Linked DNA regions of Pelodiscus sinensis. The protein of the gene in region 2 purifies or fractionates together with the protein of the main gene of each other region. This does not show direct contact. Links are inferred from orthologs where the notes say so. Each region holds a gene or a part of one and is shown on either strand. Other genes may lie near its edges.

Region 1 (8,284 bases), on a different chromosome or scaffold from region 2:
ACATTTTCCTTCAGTTTCACTACTCTTTAGATTTTTACTAATACAGATTAAGAAAGAAGAAATGGTGAAACAAATCATTTGTATTCCTTCAGTTTCAGTAAACTATGTATTTTATTAATACAGATGCACGTAGAAAAAAGTTTAAAAAGACTTTCTCAGCTAACAACTTATTTTAGAAAGATCAATATTATGATGAAAGATTGTGCGTCAGTTGCCTAAAATGCCTTATATCACTTTAAATTAAAAGTTTGCAGAAAAGCCTAAGGAAGGAGTTTAAAAATCAAAGAAATTATAATTGAATTAATTGAATATAAAATGAATGGTGGTAGTGTGATAGCATACCTTTTTGGTATGCTAATAATTAGTTTTGAAATAATGCTTTAAGTAAATAGAAATTAATAACAGAAAATCCAGTTAATGGCATATACAGGCATAATAGCAGGAAGTAGGGGTGGGGTGGGGTGCTGCAGCATCCCCAGGTTTTGTGCCTGATGACCCTGTTGCCACCCCCACACCACTGCTGCCCAGGGTCCTGTCCACCAGGTCCACTGCTGTCCAGAAGCTCCACTGCCACCCTCAAGACCACCTCAACTGCTGTTCCCAGGGGTTCCACTGCCAGCCCTGCATGCAGAGTGGTGAGTGGCGCAGAAAGGAGTAAGAGGAGGGGGAACTCAGCACCTCTACTCCAAAAACTGTATCAGTGTCACTGCCTAAGGGTGCTGTAATATAGTGGGAGATTTCATTTCTAAAAGACATAGGGATCCATTGTTTATGATGTAATAATTCACTTCCTGTGATGTAATGGTAAATTCAACTTTCTCAAGGGAATGACAGGAAGTAGCTCAAGTCATCAATAGAACAGCTAGAAAAACCCCATAAGAATATATGGAAAACCGTAGAAATGTATAAGGATGATGCAAATGGGTGACAAGATTGCATCATTATCAGGTGATGCAATCAAGGCACACTATTGCATCACTTCCTGTGGGGCTGGCTCAGCAAAATCTCATAGAGCAGAACAGTGCTGTACACCTGTCAGAAGATGATTACATAAAAGAAACCAACTAAGAAGCAACATCAGAACCCTGCAAAGAAAGAGTTGCTTGCAAAAAACAACTACTACAAAAGCAGTAGCAGCAATTTGCACCGGACAATGGCTGCTTCTACCACCCAGTCAGCAGAAGGCCCTCATAGTATCCACCAGTGCAGCAACCAAGCAGGCTTCTGTATCTGCTACCAGATAGGCTGATTTACCAGAGGAGCAGACAGGCACCCAATAAAGAGACAACTGCAGAGATTACAGCAGTCTGCAGCCATTGGACAATGCTCTCAAAGTTTGTGACAGAACAGAAGGACCTTTAAATTGTCTCAGAAGGAATCTTAAAAATCCTCTGTAAGATAAAAGCGTTGTCCATTTAACATCCTAAAGCATATGGCCTTCGTTTGTAAATAAAGTGACTGTGGTTTGAGTAAGATCTTTTCCTGTCCATATAATAAATTCCAGGCCAGCACTGACTTGACACTTAGTTTTAATGTTGAATATTTAATTCATATATTGTTACATTGTTATAAGGTAGAGAGCATTAAGTGAAGGTTTATATTGTTGTAAGTTATAGGAGTGAAAGTTTCAGAGGGGCAGCTGAGTTAGTCTTTAACAGGAAATCTTAAAAAACAATGACAAGTCTAGTAGCATCTTAAAGACCAAAAAAGATGACACCTGAAGAAGTGGGTTGTGCCCACAAAAACTCATGATACCATCTACATGTTTCGTTAGAATTGAAAGTGTTATTGTAGCGTGTCTTTATTTGCTGTGCGGCTTCATTCACTTTTTAACTGTAACCCTATTATCTATATCTCTACTCTTATGCTGTAACCACTCATTTCTAAATAAATATTATTCTTGTTTATGATATTCTTCATCAGAATGCTGTATCCATATCCTTGCAAGGGACTGGCTTTTCCTGGAAATTCTTTTAGGGCAGACCACAACCATAATTACTGGAATAGATAAATTAAGGATAAAAGGTTTTTAATTAAAAGCAGTGGTTTTAGGCAAGCTCATTGACTTAATATAATTGGTTTCAAATCTTTTGATAACAGTATGATACTGTGTTCCATTTTGTGCATATGTACAACAAAACGTCTGAGCTCAGCAGTAGAGGTTGTTCATAACTCTGAACAAAACATGATGGTTATTCTTTCAAAAGTTCACAACTGGACTTTGACTTAATACACTTTGAAATTTTACTATGCACAAGAAAAATGCTGCTTTCCCTTTTTTGAATAGCTTACATTTAATACAGTACTGTACTGTATTTGCATTGTGTGTGTGTTTGTCTGATTGCATCCTTCTTGTTCCAAATGAGGTGTGTTATTGACTAGTCAATTTGTAACTCTGGTGTTCCTAACTCCGTGGTTCTGTATTGCATCTCCCAGAGTTGTGGCAAGATGCTTCTCATTGGTCAGTTTTGTCCCATTGTTACTTTGTGCTCCCCCATCTGATTGCTCTTGCTACCTGTTGTTTTTCACCTTATATTTAGACATTGATCCTGGAGACACTAATGAATGTACTCCGCTTTACCATTCTGAGTAGTCCATTTGGATTACTTGCAGATGCACAGGTTTGCAGAATCAAGGAATTAGATAGTAAACTGTTTGGACTGGGACTGCATATTTATTATTTGTTTATTTAGTGCATAGCACAATGGGGTTGGGATATTTAAGTGCTACCACAATGTAAATAAATAATGATAATGCTAAAATGGCCTTTACCAGGTCAAAATTTGGAATAGAGCCATGCCCATATAAGGCTACATTACCATGATTCACGAAATAGATATCCCAATGCTGTGTATAAGTTTAAAGTATTGCCTCAATACTCATTCCTGCCTAGCCACTACAAAGCTCAAAATCCAGTCTCTCCAAATTAAAGCCTAACAGATCTTTGGGACTGCCAAATAAAAAGATGTCTATTATTTGTATTACAGTAGAACCTGGACTTCTGCCCAACTGAGATATGGGTCTGGCTGTTTTACATACTGTAGAAACTGAGAATGTAAAATCCTATTTAATTGGTTAACCGGTTAAATGTGATGTTTAACAGGTTAACTGATTAAAGGAGGAAAGGTTGGGAGGCTGAGACTGGGCTGGAGCAGCCCCTCCCCATCATTGCAGGCTTCAGCCCAGCCAGAGTAGCCCCTGCCTGCAATGCACCCGGGCCCCACTGTGCACAGGAGCTGCTTTGGGCAGCCAGAGCAGCCCTTGTCTTCAAGCGTGCCCTATGGGGCTGTAGCAGCCACCCGCCTGAGGTGAGCGGAGCTTCTTCAGCCCCCACGCATTAACCGGAACCAATAAATCTTTCATATCCCTCATAGATACATGTAGAAGACAATTCCTGTCCTGAAGAACTTATGCTCCAAGGACTTGTCTACTGGAAAAAGTTGTACCAGTACAGTTATGTTGGTATAACTTCCTGTTTGGACATTCTTATTCTGAAAATAAGAGGGCTTTTTGTTTTTGTTTAGCTTAAACAAAAACACGTTATGAGTGTCTGCATGGGAAGTTATAGCTGTATAGTAATAGTGGTTTAAAGTCAAACCATAACTTATGTAGATATTACTTGTTAAAGTCTTAAATAGATGAGACAAGACAACTAATCACAAGAAAGTGGCAGAACCAGGAACTGAATTCTGATCTCACAAGTTTGTCAGTTCCCTTCTGAAACCACCATCCTTCTGGAAGGATTTGTCTTTGTTTTAGGGGGCCTTATAAGATATATTTGTGTTCCTAACTTTTGGGATATGTCTTACTGATACTTTACACTGGGGTAGGTTCTGATGTCTGTCCTGCTCTGACATCAGTTGAAACACTGTGTGTGCACAAACGTACAGTTGCGCTGAGCTAGTGTTGCTGAAGGGCAGGTAGTTATGGCCCCAATCCTACAAAGATTTAAAGTTCCATCATGTGTACAGTTATGATGGACACAGGTAACAAGTCCATTGCGTTAGGTCTTTATGGAGCCAGGCTAAGTCAGCCATTACAGCAAGTCAAAAAGCCATGTCACCAAAGCAATGACACTGAAACAACACAGTCTACTGGAAGGCGCTAAAAGCATGGGGCAACCGAGATGCGTCCCAGGCCTAGTTGTGCTCTTCTAAGCAATCTGCCTGCACCTGGACAGGCTATAGGTGGGCGAGCCATAGTCTCAATCTGGTTCCAACTCAGAGCACCACCTCTCTGGGGTGAGGGGAACTGCTCCTGCTACGGCCCAGGGCAGTGCCCGGGCTGTCCCATCTACAGCACTAGCTCTTTCCGCCTCCGCCCACACCCCCTTTTCCCGCTGGCACCGCCTCACGTTGTGACTCCGGCCCTCTCCCTGGGTGGCAATAGAATTCTAGGGGGCGATCCGCTGGCCGGACCGAGGCGCGCGGGGGAAGGTTCCCAGCCGGGCTCGGCGTGGCTGCACCGCCTCCCCCTCTTCGAAGTGGCTCGCTCAGTGTCTCGCGCGGATCGAGGCTTCCTTCCGGCCGCCATTTTAGTTGCTGTTCTTGGCCTCGCGGCGCTGCCGCCGCTGCTGCTCGAGGAGCGGAGAGCGCGGAGCCGTAGCACCCATCCGCGCCCGGAGTCCCCGCCGCCGCCGGCACCATGTCCAAGCGCCACCGCCTAGACCTGGGGGACGACTACACCTCCAGCAAGAAGCGCGCTACGGCTGACGGGTGAGGGGCGCCGGGGCTAGGGCCCGGGCCTGGCCGCGCGGCCTGGGGGCGGGGGCTGGTCTCTCTCCCTCTTGGAGCGGTTCCTGCCTAATCCGCTTTGTGCCTCGGCGGCAGACTCGCTCCCTGCAGTGCTGGGCCTGGCCGAGGCGCGGGGGGGGGACCGGACCGGCGGGGCTCGGAGCCGGCCGGGCGCGGCACGCAGGCCCCATGGCGAAAGCGCTAGGCAGGCGCGTCTCCTCGTCGCGCTTGTGGGGGGAGGGGCGGCCCAAGAGCCCGGCGGCTTCCTACAGTCTTGGGAGGCTCCGTCCGTCCCGTTTAAAAGCCGGGAGTCCCGGTGCGGGGCGGGGGACGTGGTGGAGGCAGCGGGTACCGGGCGAGCTGCGTGAGAGTGGCAGGGAACCGGCCCCTGTGCCTTTCCGCGCAGGAATCGGAAATCTTGCCGGGGTAGGCTCCGATTAGCAGCCGAGATGTGCCGTGTGTCCGTGCAGTTGGGAACCCCATCGGTTACCCGACTCCTCGGGTCACTGAGCTCCCGCCGCGGCCCCGCATCCCGGGCGAGAATAGTCCCGTGAACCCGACTCCCAGTGCAGCGCTGAGCAGGGACCAGTATTTCTAGTGTTTTTTTTAAAATTCTGACAAGGCCTGAACCAGATCATAGTGTTCGGCCCTACGCCGACCGTCTTCCTTCAGTAAATTAGAGTGATCTCCGCAACTTCTGACTACAGCTTTTCAAGTTGCTGTTTACAGATAACGGTTACGATTGTTGAAGTTGGCGGGGGTGGGGTGAAGGGGGACGGCAAAGGTATTCTTTTGTGTGTGTTCTCTGTCCGCCTCTACATGCATTTTATGCCTAGTGAGTTTCATTGTTCCCCGTGTTATCAATCACTCCTTTGTGTGAGTTTTTCTAGAGGTGGACAGAAAGAGTGGGAAAGCATTTATAAACATAATCTTAAAATCACAAACGCAGGAAGCAATGGTGGGCGACCTAGGGGTGAATTTAATTACTTCTAAATTTATTTTTGTTTTTAACTTGCACTGAAAATTGATGGGGGAGGGGGGCTATGGATATTGAACAACAAAAAATTGAGGGTAATTAAATTAGTTTACCTTTGGGTTGAAGCATTTACATTCTGAAATCAAAAATATAATTCTAAAGATTTTTCTTGTTGGAGTGTGGACAACAGTTAAAGTTAAATGGAATGATTGAAAATGACCACATATTCATGGGAATTGCTGTGCTAGTTCAAATCATTGGTCTGTCTAATCCAGTATTCCATCTGTGAAAGTTAATAATGAAAGCTTCAGAGACAGAGGCAAGAAATGTCAAAGTAAACGTTTACAGAATAGTGCCTTTTCCTTTAGGGAAAATTTCATCCTAGTCGATGTCCATTGGTGACTGGTACATGCTTTAAAGCATGAGGGCTCCTGGTCTTTATTTACGAAAAAAATTACCCTATCTCATGCTGCTGTATGTGGTCTCATTAATAAGTCTGATCCTAGGAGTAGGCTTATTGAAAGCGTTTCATTGTCAAGGGATGTTCTTCTTTCAAACTCTCCCTCCAATCAAATATCTATTTTTAAGTCCTAGCCACTTCTGCAGCATCCCAATGGACTTCCCTTCCCCACAACTGAATACATTGCTTCTAACCCTGAAAACAAATGTCTTTTGAGTTGTAACTAAGTAACTAGGTAGTGTGAAGACATAAGAAGACATCAGTTTCTGTAAAATGTAAGCTTTCATTTAAAATTAGGTTTTAAGCTTTTTTTATATTATGCTCTTATATAAGTACACAGGCTTCAGTCACATAACTCTCATTATGATGGTGTTGGTCAAAAGGATAGCATGAAACAGGTGGTGGATAAAAGAGTTATAATCCAAGGCCCTGAGGCATCTTCTAAAAGCTCATTTTAGGTTTAGTGCATGAATTAAGATAAAATGGAACTAATTTTTGAAACAAACAACCAGAGGCACTAGAGAGGGAGAGTGAGGGTAACGATGACACAAAGTATTGTAGATTTTAGATCTCTTCTAAAAGACAAATTAAACAACATATTAATGGTGTCAGAGATTCTTGCTGGTCACCTCGGGAATCATACAATTAATGGAGGATTAAGATATAGTAAATTAGAGCTTTTGTGGGCCTTTTCTCATAAGAACAAGGATTATTGGCCTTTGCCTGGTTGCACAGCTACTTTTAAAAACAATCTTCATCCTAGAATGTGCAAAAAATAAAGCTACTACATGCTAACTTAAGCTGGTTATAAAAAAAATACAGTGGTACAGGTAGACACTCCTGTACCTAGTCATCTATTTTGTTAAAGGGAGGAATGGCCAGCAGCAGTCTGAGATGCATATAAGATGCTGTGGGGGAAAGTAATTGACCACAAACTCTCTTCAGGAACTCTGCATATTCTTGCAATTCTCCTGAATAATATGAGGCAGCCTGGTACACTGTATGAAGAGTTTGTGTTGCCCCCCAAATTTAAAGGGAGAATAGAAGTGTTCCTGAAGATATGAGTTGGCCTTTCACTTTTAGGTGAGAATATTAGGATTATTTTTGTTGCACCATTTGAAATTTGCAAATTGAAATTCAAAGTAATATGAAGTAGAGGGAATCTTCAGCTTGCAAGTCAAAAAGTCACTAATTATTCTTGGCTTTTTACATATGTAAGTATAACAATTGTTGTTGTAGTTGCTATGTCTGACCACTGAACTGTTTTGAGGCAATTTTATTTGTATCAACAGCATATTGTGGAAATTCCAGAGACGAAGATGAGGGCACTTCTAGTTGAAACAAAGATTTGTAAAAGGCACAGTTTCTATTTAAAGTGTTTTAATTAAATACCTTATTTATAGCTTTTCTGATAAATTAATAAATTACCTCTTTTGCAGCAAGAGACAGTGCTGTTACCTTGAGGTACTAAACTATGTACTGGTACAGTAAATATTTTCTAGGAACAAGTATAGTACATCCAACTATAGTTAATTTTTCAGAGGGTCAGATTCTCAAAATTATCCTCTGGTTTTAGGTGCTTGGCTTTAGACCTAGGGCTTAATTTTAAAAAAGCATTGAACACCTGCAGCTTCAACTGAAACTAACTGAATCAGGTTCTGCAGTATAGACATAAACTCAAAATTATACAGCACTATGTCAGTATAGTCACCTAGTGTAGATTAGGGATGTAAAAACATTTAGGAAATACCAACAGTATAATTGATTAAGTTACATGGTTAAATGGGTCCTATGGGCGCTGGTGGCTGCAAAATCCCAACAGTGCCAGTATGATTCAAGGCCTGGTGTAATATATAAAACCAGTCCCCCCCCCTACTCCCAATGAAAGGAGAATGGCTAGATTCCAAATTCACCACATCCCCTCCAGAAAACTATTCCTCAGGAATTGGGGAGGGAAATTAGGGGAAACATTTTTATTGGTCTACAGTCCTTGTTCTTGGAAGTCTAAACCCAAGGCTAAATTAAATTTGATACCCACCTGAAGGCAACTTGTAAAACTAAAACATGGATTGAGTTTACTCCAGCTATTTGATCTGAATATTCCCTCTTGCATCA
Region 2 (8,294 bases):
GCGCCCTCCCCCCTCCAGCAGACCAGGCTTTTGTTGCAGGACGCCTGGGGTAGAGCAGCTGGGGTGCTGCCGGGTTGGTCCTACGGGGACCTATCCTGCAGCGCCCCAGCTGTTCTGTCCCAGGAGTCCAGATTCAGCCGCTGTTGAAACTGATCAGCGGCTGATTCCAGGAATCCGGGGGCAGAGCAACTCTGCCTAGGGCTTCCTGTAGTCAGCCGCTGATCAGTTTCAGCAGCAGCTGAATCTGGAGCCAGTTCCGACTTACATACAAATTCAACTTAAGAACAAACCTATAGTCCCTATGTTGTACGTAACCCAGGGACTGCCTGTACAGTAAAACTCTGATGGTCTGGGATCTGTTGGTCCGGCACTCCTGATGGTCTGGCACCATCAGGAACCCGGAAGTGCTCCAGGCAGCCGGACCATTGGAGCTGCTATGCCCCCAGCTTCCCCGATTCAGCTGCTGCTAAAACTGACCAGCGGCTGACTCCAGGAAGCCCGAGGCAGAGCTGCTCTGCCCCAGGCTTCCTGGAATCAGCCCCGATCAGTTTCAGCGGCGGCTGACTTGGGTACACCTGGGACAGAGCAGCTGGGGTGCTGCCTGGTTGGTCTCGCAGCGCCACGGGTTGGCGCTACCAGCCGCTGTTGAAACGGACCAGCAGCTGACTCCAGGAAGCCATGGGCAGAGCAGCTCTGCCTCAGGCTTCCTGGAGTCAGCCGCTGATCAGTATCAGCAGCGGCTGACTTGGGGACACCTGGGGCAGAGAAGCTGGGGTGCTGCCGGGTTGGTCCAGTAGCGCCGAGGAGTGGCGCTGCGGGACCAACCCAGCAGCACCCCAGCTGCTCTGCCCCAGGCGTCCCCAATTCAGCTGCTGCTGAAACTGACCAGCAGCGGCTGAATCAGGGACGCCTGGGGCAGAGCCAGACTATTGGAAGGGGGGGCTATGAGGGGTTTGAGGTGGCATTCCCCCCACCCCAGAACCCTTATAGTCCCCCCTTCCGATAGTCCGGCAAAACTAATAATCCGGCACCCTCTGGGTCCTAAAGGTGCCGTATTATCGGAAGTTTACTGTATTCACTGCTGATGACTCAGTCAAACTGTATACAATAATCTTTGCTTCCTGAATAACTAGTGTTTTCTGCACTTTCATCTTCATTTCAGAAAACTGGTAAAAAGAGAAAAACTCACAGCTCTTAAAGTTGTGTGCAGTAGTATTGTAGCCATGTTAGTCTCAAGATATTTTAGTCTATGGGTGGGCAAGATACTATCTTTTGTTGGATCTACTTCTGTTGGTGAGAAAAATCTACTGAACTTAGGCTGTGTCTACACTTTTCAAAGTGCAGCCACACCAGCGTTTTGAACTAAAAGTGTGGCCACAGAAGGAGCATTCTCCTAAGGCACATCTAGAGTACATCCCTCTGTTGGCAGACCAGAAAAGCTCAAAGTAAGCTCAAAAGTCCCTGGAAAAATCATGGAGGGGATCCTCAAGGAATCCATTTTGAGGCACTTGGAAGAGGGGAAGGTGATCAAAAATGGTCAGTGTGGATTCATGAAGGGCAAGTTGTGCCTGACCAACCAGAATGGCTTCTATGATGAGATAACTGGCTCTGGGGAGATGGGGAAGTCAGTGGATGTGATATACCTTGACTTTAGCAAGGCTTTTGATACGCTCTCCCACAATATTCTTGCCAGCAAGTTAAGAGAATGTGGATTGGCTAAATGGACAGTAAGATGGATAGAAAGCTGGCTGGAAGGTTGGGCCCAGCGGGTAGTGATCAATGGCTCGATGTCAGGATGGCGGTCAGTTTCTAGTGGAGTGCCCTAAGGTTCGGTTCTGGGACCAGTTTTGTTCAACATCTTTATTAATAACCTGGATGAGGGGATGGATTGCACCCTAGGCAAGTTTGAGGATTACACTAAGCTAGGGGGAGAGGTAGATACACTTGAGGACAGAGATAGAGTCCAGAGTGACTTAGACAAATTGGAGGATTGGGCCACAAGAAATCTGATGAGGTTCAACAAGGACAAGTGTAGAGTCCTGCACTTGGGACGGAAGAATTCCAGCACTGTTACAAGCTGGGGATCAACTGGCTAAGTCGCAGTTCTGTAGAAAAGGACCTGGGGATTACAGAGGATGAGAAGCTGGACATGAATCAACAGTGTACCCTTATAGCCAAGAAGGCTAATGGCATAGTAGATTGCATTAAGAGGAGCATTGCCAGTCGATCCAGAGATGTGATTATTCCTCTTTACTTGGCTCTGGTGAGGTCACGTCTGGAGTATTGTATCACATCTGGAGTATCCAGTTCTGGGCCCCCAATTGCAGGAAGGATGTGGATGCACTGGAGGTTCCAGTGGAGGGCAACCAAAATGATTAGGTGGCTGGAGCATATGACCTATGAGGAGAGGTTGAGGGAGTTGGGTCTATTTAGTCTGCAGAAGAGAAGAGTGAGGGAGGATTTGATAGCATCCTTCAACTTCCTGAAGGGAGGTTCCAAAGAGGCTGGAGAAAGGATGTTCACAGTAGTGATGGATGGCAGAACAAGGAACAATGGTCTGAAGTTGCAGTGGGAGAGGTCCAAGTTGGATATTAGGAAAAACTATTTCACTAGGAGGGTGGCGAAGCACTGGAATAGGTTACCTAGGGAAATAGTGGAGTCTCCATTCTTTGGCTATGTGTACACTGGCGGGTTCTTGTGCAAGAACATCATCCACACTTCCACGTGCGTGCTGTGCTTTTGCGCAAGAGCTCCCATGGCAGTGTGGACGCTCTCTTGCGCAAGAAAGCTCTGATGGCCATTTTAGCCATAGGGATTTCTTGCGCAAGAAATCCCTGCCAAGCGTCCACACTGCCCTCTTGTGCAAGAGCTCCTGCGCAAGAGGGCTTACACCTGATAAAAAAGAGCATAACTCTTGTGCAAGGAGCCCTCTCTTACCATGCCATACTGTAAATTTCCTTGCTCAAGAGCGGGCGGGCAGTGTGGACGCTCTGCAGATTCTTGCGCAACAACGGCCGTACTTGCGCAAGAAGCCAAAGCCACGAGCGTAGACATAGCCCTAGAGTTTTTTAAGTCTCGGCTGGGTTGATGTAATTGGGATTGGTCCTGACTTGGGCAGGGGGCTGTACTTGATGGCCTTCTAAGGTCTCTTCCAGCTCTATGGTTCTATGATTCTATGAAAAGCTTGTCTCCATCACCAACAGAAGACGGCCTAGTACAAGTACAATCTCAGAGTTATGAACACCTCAGGAATAGAGCTATTTGTAATTTTGAACATTATATTTGTTCTTTCGAAAGTTTACAACTGAACATTGACTTAACACAGCTTTGAAACGTCACTATTCAGAAGACAAATGCTGCTTTTAGCCATCTTAATTTAAATCAAACAAGAACAGAAAAAGTACTCTTACATTTTCAGTTTTTAAAACTGCCTGTTTTAGTAGTTTAACACCAGGGGTGGGGAACCTCAGGGCTGGATGCAGCCCTCAGCGTGCCTAGATCCAGCCCCTGAGGATCATTCCCCCACCCCCGCCCAGCATTGGGGAACCCATACTGGTACTCCAGCCCCCACTGGTACTCCACAAAATCTACTAGGCTAGGCCCCCACCAGGCTCTGGTGTGTGAATGGAATGTGGGGAGTGTCTTCTCCTCAGTTGGGGGCCACAGTGAAGGTTCCCCCCCACACACTTCTCACTTGGGTATCCCCCCCAACAGAAAACTGATTTTTCTGTGGGTCATTGGCCCCGACCTAAAAAAGGTTCCCCACACCTGATTTAACACTGTACTGCATTTCCTTTTTTTTTTTTTTGGGGGGGGGGGCGGTAATCTGTTGCTGCCTGACACGTCAGTCCATAACTGTGGTTCTAATGTAAAAGATACTATCTCATCCACCTTGTCTCCCTACAGTTCTTAAATTCATGGCTGTAATTAGATTACGCCAGATATTTTGATGAAGCTATGTAGAAGTTTTTGCTGCCTGTGTTAATTTAGTAGTTTAATGTTGATAAAAGGATCAACACAACTGACTCGAGCCACTTCACATCTATCACCTAACCTGGAGATCTGGTACTTCAGCCCAGACTTGATTGAGGAACGGCTGCTCACTGCCCTGAACTACAGAGTGGTGCAAGTCCAGGCTCAGATAAGAGACTGGGGGGGGGCAAACAAATCCGGCCACGCTTGCGTCAGTCACACCGAGCGGCTGCCTCTCTCCTCCCCGTGTAATGGAGCCACAGCCCGGCAAAGCGGGGCTGATACGATAACGTCGCAGGCGCTGCATTTCAGGAAACGTTTTTAACCAGAGGCCCCCGCAACCCGTCGAGCCTCTGCCGGAGCAAGGGCGCAATTCCACCGCAGCCCGCCCGCCCGAATGGAACTCCTCAGCCAGCGAGCCCACCCCGGCCTGCTCTCAGCCCCCCCCCCCCACCGGGCAATAACCAGCCCCGCTCCGCCAGCCTAGTGACCACGCCCCCTTCCCCGGCCTGGGAGACCGGCCTGAGGAGCGCCCGGCCCGCCAGGGCAGCATGGGGCCACACCACGGGGGAGCTCGGGCCTGGGCCCAGAGCCGGGAATGGGGGCGGGGATTTCAAGCCGAGTCCCGCGGCTCCCCGCCCGCCCCTGACCCCTCCTGGAGAGAGCAACTCCGGACCCCCGGACTCACCCCCGCGGCGGCGCGCTCAGCTCTGTAGGAGAAGAAAGCGACGCAGTCTCCCAGGGAGAATCCAGCACGGCCAAGCCCCTGCCCGCCTCTTCGCGCAGGGAACCCTGGGAAATGGAGTGCACGACGCGCTTTCCCTCGCTCGGTTTAAAAACTACAACGCCCAGCATGCTTCACGATCGGGGCGCTAGGCGGCTCGCTCTCCGTGCGGCATACAACTCCCAACATGCTCGGCGACTGGCCCGAGCAGCCCCTCGCGGCCAGAGCCCTAAAACTACCATTCCCATGGTGCTCCGCGGACTGCACGCTAGTTACCTTCTCCAGTGGCTTCTCCCTGCTTCCTCACAGCCTCCTTCCAAACTTTTCGCCGTTAGGCGGCAACTCCCGGCGCGAGCGACGGCGATGGAAGCGGCGGCCAACTGCTCCCTGCGGGTGAACCGGCAGCTCTTGGATCCCAAGTTCGAGGGCTACAAGCTGTCCCTGGAGCCGCTGGCCTGCTACCAACTGGGGCTGGACTCGGGTGAGGGGCGCTGCGGAAACGTGGCGGCGGGGCAGCAGCGTTTGGGGGGCGCGCGGGAAGGGTTTGTTCGGGCTCCTGGGGGGGGGGGGGGAGGCTGCTTGTGGCCGGGGAGCCCCGGGGCGGCAGGTTTGTGGGTGCTGCCAGGGCCAGGTCGCTAGTGTTTGCTTGGCTGAAGCCTCTCCGCCGCGGGTTGCTTTGCTATGTCCCGGCTGCTGGCCTCCGGGCAGAGGCGGCTGCCCATCCCAGTGGGGTAAAATTATTCAAGCCCCAGGTGCCTGGCAGGCTGTGGTTGTGCTCCCCTACAGGGCTGGGTAAATATTCTCCGGATCATTGGGAAACAACATTCCCTCCCCTGCCGTGCAAGGCCAAGCCTGACTGGTAACTGTTCCAGGTTTTGGTGCATTCTGGTCTACACTAGGGATAAGTTCAGATTAAGATTTGCAACTCGCGCTAGGTCAATTGCTTCGCAGGAGTTGACTTATCTTAATACGAGCTTTGGCTCTGTCCACATAGTGGGAGGTCACCGAGAGAAATGCTTCTCTCGACTTGCCTTACTCCTCACAGGAGCACCCTTAGCGTTCAAGTTAGCCAGTCTTTACTAGGTTTGCTAAATCGAATGCCAGAAGATCACTCTCCTGAGCCTTAATTAATGGGTAAGTATAGACAAGGCCCTGGAGCCATGTGTGCAGTATGGGCTAAGAATGTGTAAATTTAACCATGTAAACAGTTAACCAGTAACTCTGGATTTATCAGTTAATATTCACACGTGCATGCAGACTCCTGTGGTAGCTGGCTCCGCAGGAGTGGGGCTGCAGGTGGGAGCTGGTGTGCCTTGGGAGGCGTCTTAAGCTGACTCCCAGCACACACCACCTGCCAGGGAGCTGACTGTCACCCCACATGTAACCGTGTAACCATTTTTTTAGCAGTTACATAGTTAATTAAATGCATTTTAACATTTCTAATACAGACAGAGGTTGCCTTTGTCAGTCTGGGCTGGGATCCTTGACTGATATATGTGAGCAGCAGACTCTAGTGTAGGCCTGCGCTTTCTCCAGAGTCCCTGTAAGTCTTCAAGAAAAACTTTTGAGTGGTTTTGAGGGTTTTATATTTTAGCATTGGATCTTTAAAATATTTAATTAACGCATAGTTGTCGTTTTAACACGCCTCACTCTCCTCATACACCTTCATCAGTAATATAGTGATGTCCTTGTAGGTGAGCCTTCAATTCCATCTTTTATGTCGACCTCTTTTTAATAGGTGTCCTGATGAATTTCAAGCCTGCAGATTTTTCTGGTTTTTGGAAAGGCAGAGCAGCCCATTTTCTTCCTTCCCATTCTGAGACTTTTCCCAAACTCTCGTGGGTAGAAGTTTTACTCTAGTGTCTGTCGTTGTAGCCTAAGGCCAGGTCTACTCTAAACCCGGCAACTCAACTTAAGGTACGCAACTCTAGCTACATAGAATATGCTCCCATTAGCTTCTCTTGCGCCTTGCAAAAGGAGGAGTGCCAGTGGGGCACTTTAGTTAAGACTTGCTAAATCGAACTCCGGAAGATGGATCGTGGCAGTGACAATCTTCCTTTTAGTGTAGACAAATCCTGAAAAATGTATGAACAGCCATAGGTGAAATTTACATGTTCTTTATTAGTTTCAAAGCTGCTCAGGGAACAGAAGCTCTGAAACTGGCTTTGGGGCCTTTTCACTCTTGCTTCTTGGGAAAATTACAAGAAACAGCAGAGATACGGGAATTGCCTGTATGCAGACCATAGTATTGCTAACCATAAGTGTTTATAACTCATAAGCTACAGCTCAAAGTAACAAGGTTAGCTTAAAAATTCATGAGATGTAAAACAATGGGGGTTCTTTTGATTAGCCTTTTAGTTTTTTGTGCCTTTAGAGTGCACATTTTAAAGCTTTGTCTTTGCAGCTGTTAGAGATATCCTTTCTCCTTTTTCAAAATGAAAACTGAGATTTTCATGTAAAGTTGATATAAGATGGAGCTTTAAGAAAAACATTGGATGTTATGGGAGTTGGGATCAAATCATAAAAATTAGCATCCCTGCACTCTCCAAGAGGTGACTACACCCAGTTTTGATGACACAAACTTCTTCTGTGGAGGTGGAAGTTTTTATCTTCCCTTCCCTTTATTGTCAACCAGTCATGTAGTGTATGCTACAATAGGTTTTTTGTTGAGTTTATTGACCTCTAGCATGTTTTCCTCAGTGACCAATTAGCCACTGTGGCCAGTACTTTGAACTCTGCTGCTCTGCAGCCAGATAAACAGATGCATCCCTCCCAACTGCAAATCCTGGGAATTAAAAAAAAATCTATTTCCTGGTGTCTGGCTCGTTGTATAGTGGTCCTCATGGCATCTTCTCAGTGAGCCAGTGGTGGGTAGTGATAGAAATGTAGCCGTGTTAGTCTGGGGTAGTTGAAGCAAAATGCAGGACAATGTAGCACTTTAAAGACTAACAAGATGGTTTATTAGATGATGAGCTTTCGTGGGCCAGACCCACTTCCTCAGATCAAATAGTGGAAGAAAGTAGTCACAACCATATATACCAAAGGATACAATTAAAAAAAATGAACAAATATGAAAAGGACAAATCACATTGCAGAACAGGAGGGGGATGCGGGGGGGGGGGGGAAGGAAGGAAGGTAAGTGTCTGTGAATTGATGATATTAGAGGTAGGGGTGGGTGTCACTCAAACATTCCCCTGCTTGGAGCAATGCAGAGCTTTTGGATCTTATCAGTGTGTGAGGTGAAGAATCAGTGCAGGCACAGCTATGAGTGACTTGTAGGAACTGGGACATACACAGTCATATTTCTTGAACCATATATGAGAAGAGGTTTGAGTGAGACATACTACACTGCGGAGCCAAGATAAAGGTACTCTGGCAGGCATACCAGAAGGCAAAGGAGGCAAATAGCCGGTCTGGTGCTGCATGTGCAACATGGTGTTTTTATGAAGAACTAGGTGCAATCCTGGATGGGGACCCCATAACCACACCCAAGGAGAGTGTGGATACCTTCCATAGACCAGAAACAAAAACACTTGTCCCAGAGACAGAAATTATTGATGAACAGCTGGAAGTGGATGAAGGGGTTAGGATTAGTCCA

What was found.
Region 1: the proteins of NUDCD1 (region 2) and DHX15 purify together in Homo sapiens (co-immunoprecipitation; 3 studies listed by BioGRID and IntAct, with this or other methods). This does not show direct contact. The link is inferred for Pelodiscus sinensis from reciprocal best matches to the Homo sapiens genes NUDCD1 and DHX15.

The regions. Positions count from the first base shown.
Region 1 is NC_134715.1:102,246,076-102,254,359, forward strand, and holds the start of DHX15 (ATP-dependent RNA helicase DHX15), read left to right. Parts: upstream 1-4,440; 5' UTR 4,441-4,644; coding exon 4,645-4,715; intron 4,716-8,284.
Region 2 is NC_134712.1:29,337,199-29,345,492, forward strand, and holds the start of NUDCD1 (nudC domain-containing protein 1), read left to right. Parts: upstream 1-4,853; 5' UTR 4,854-4,942; coding exon 4,943-5,177; intron 5,178-8,294.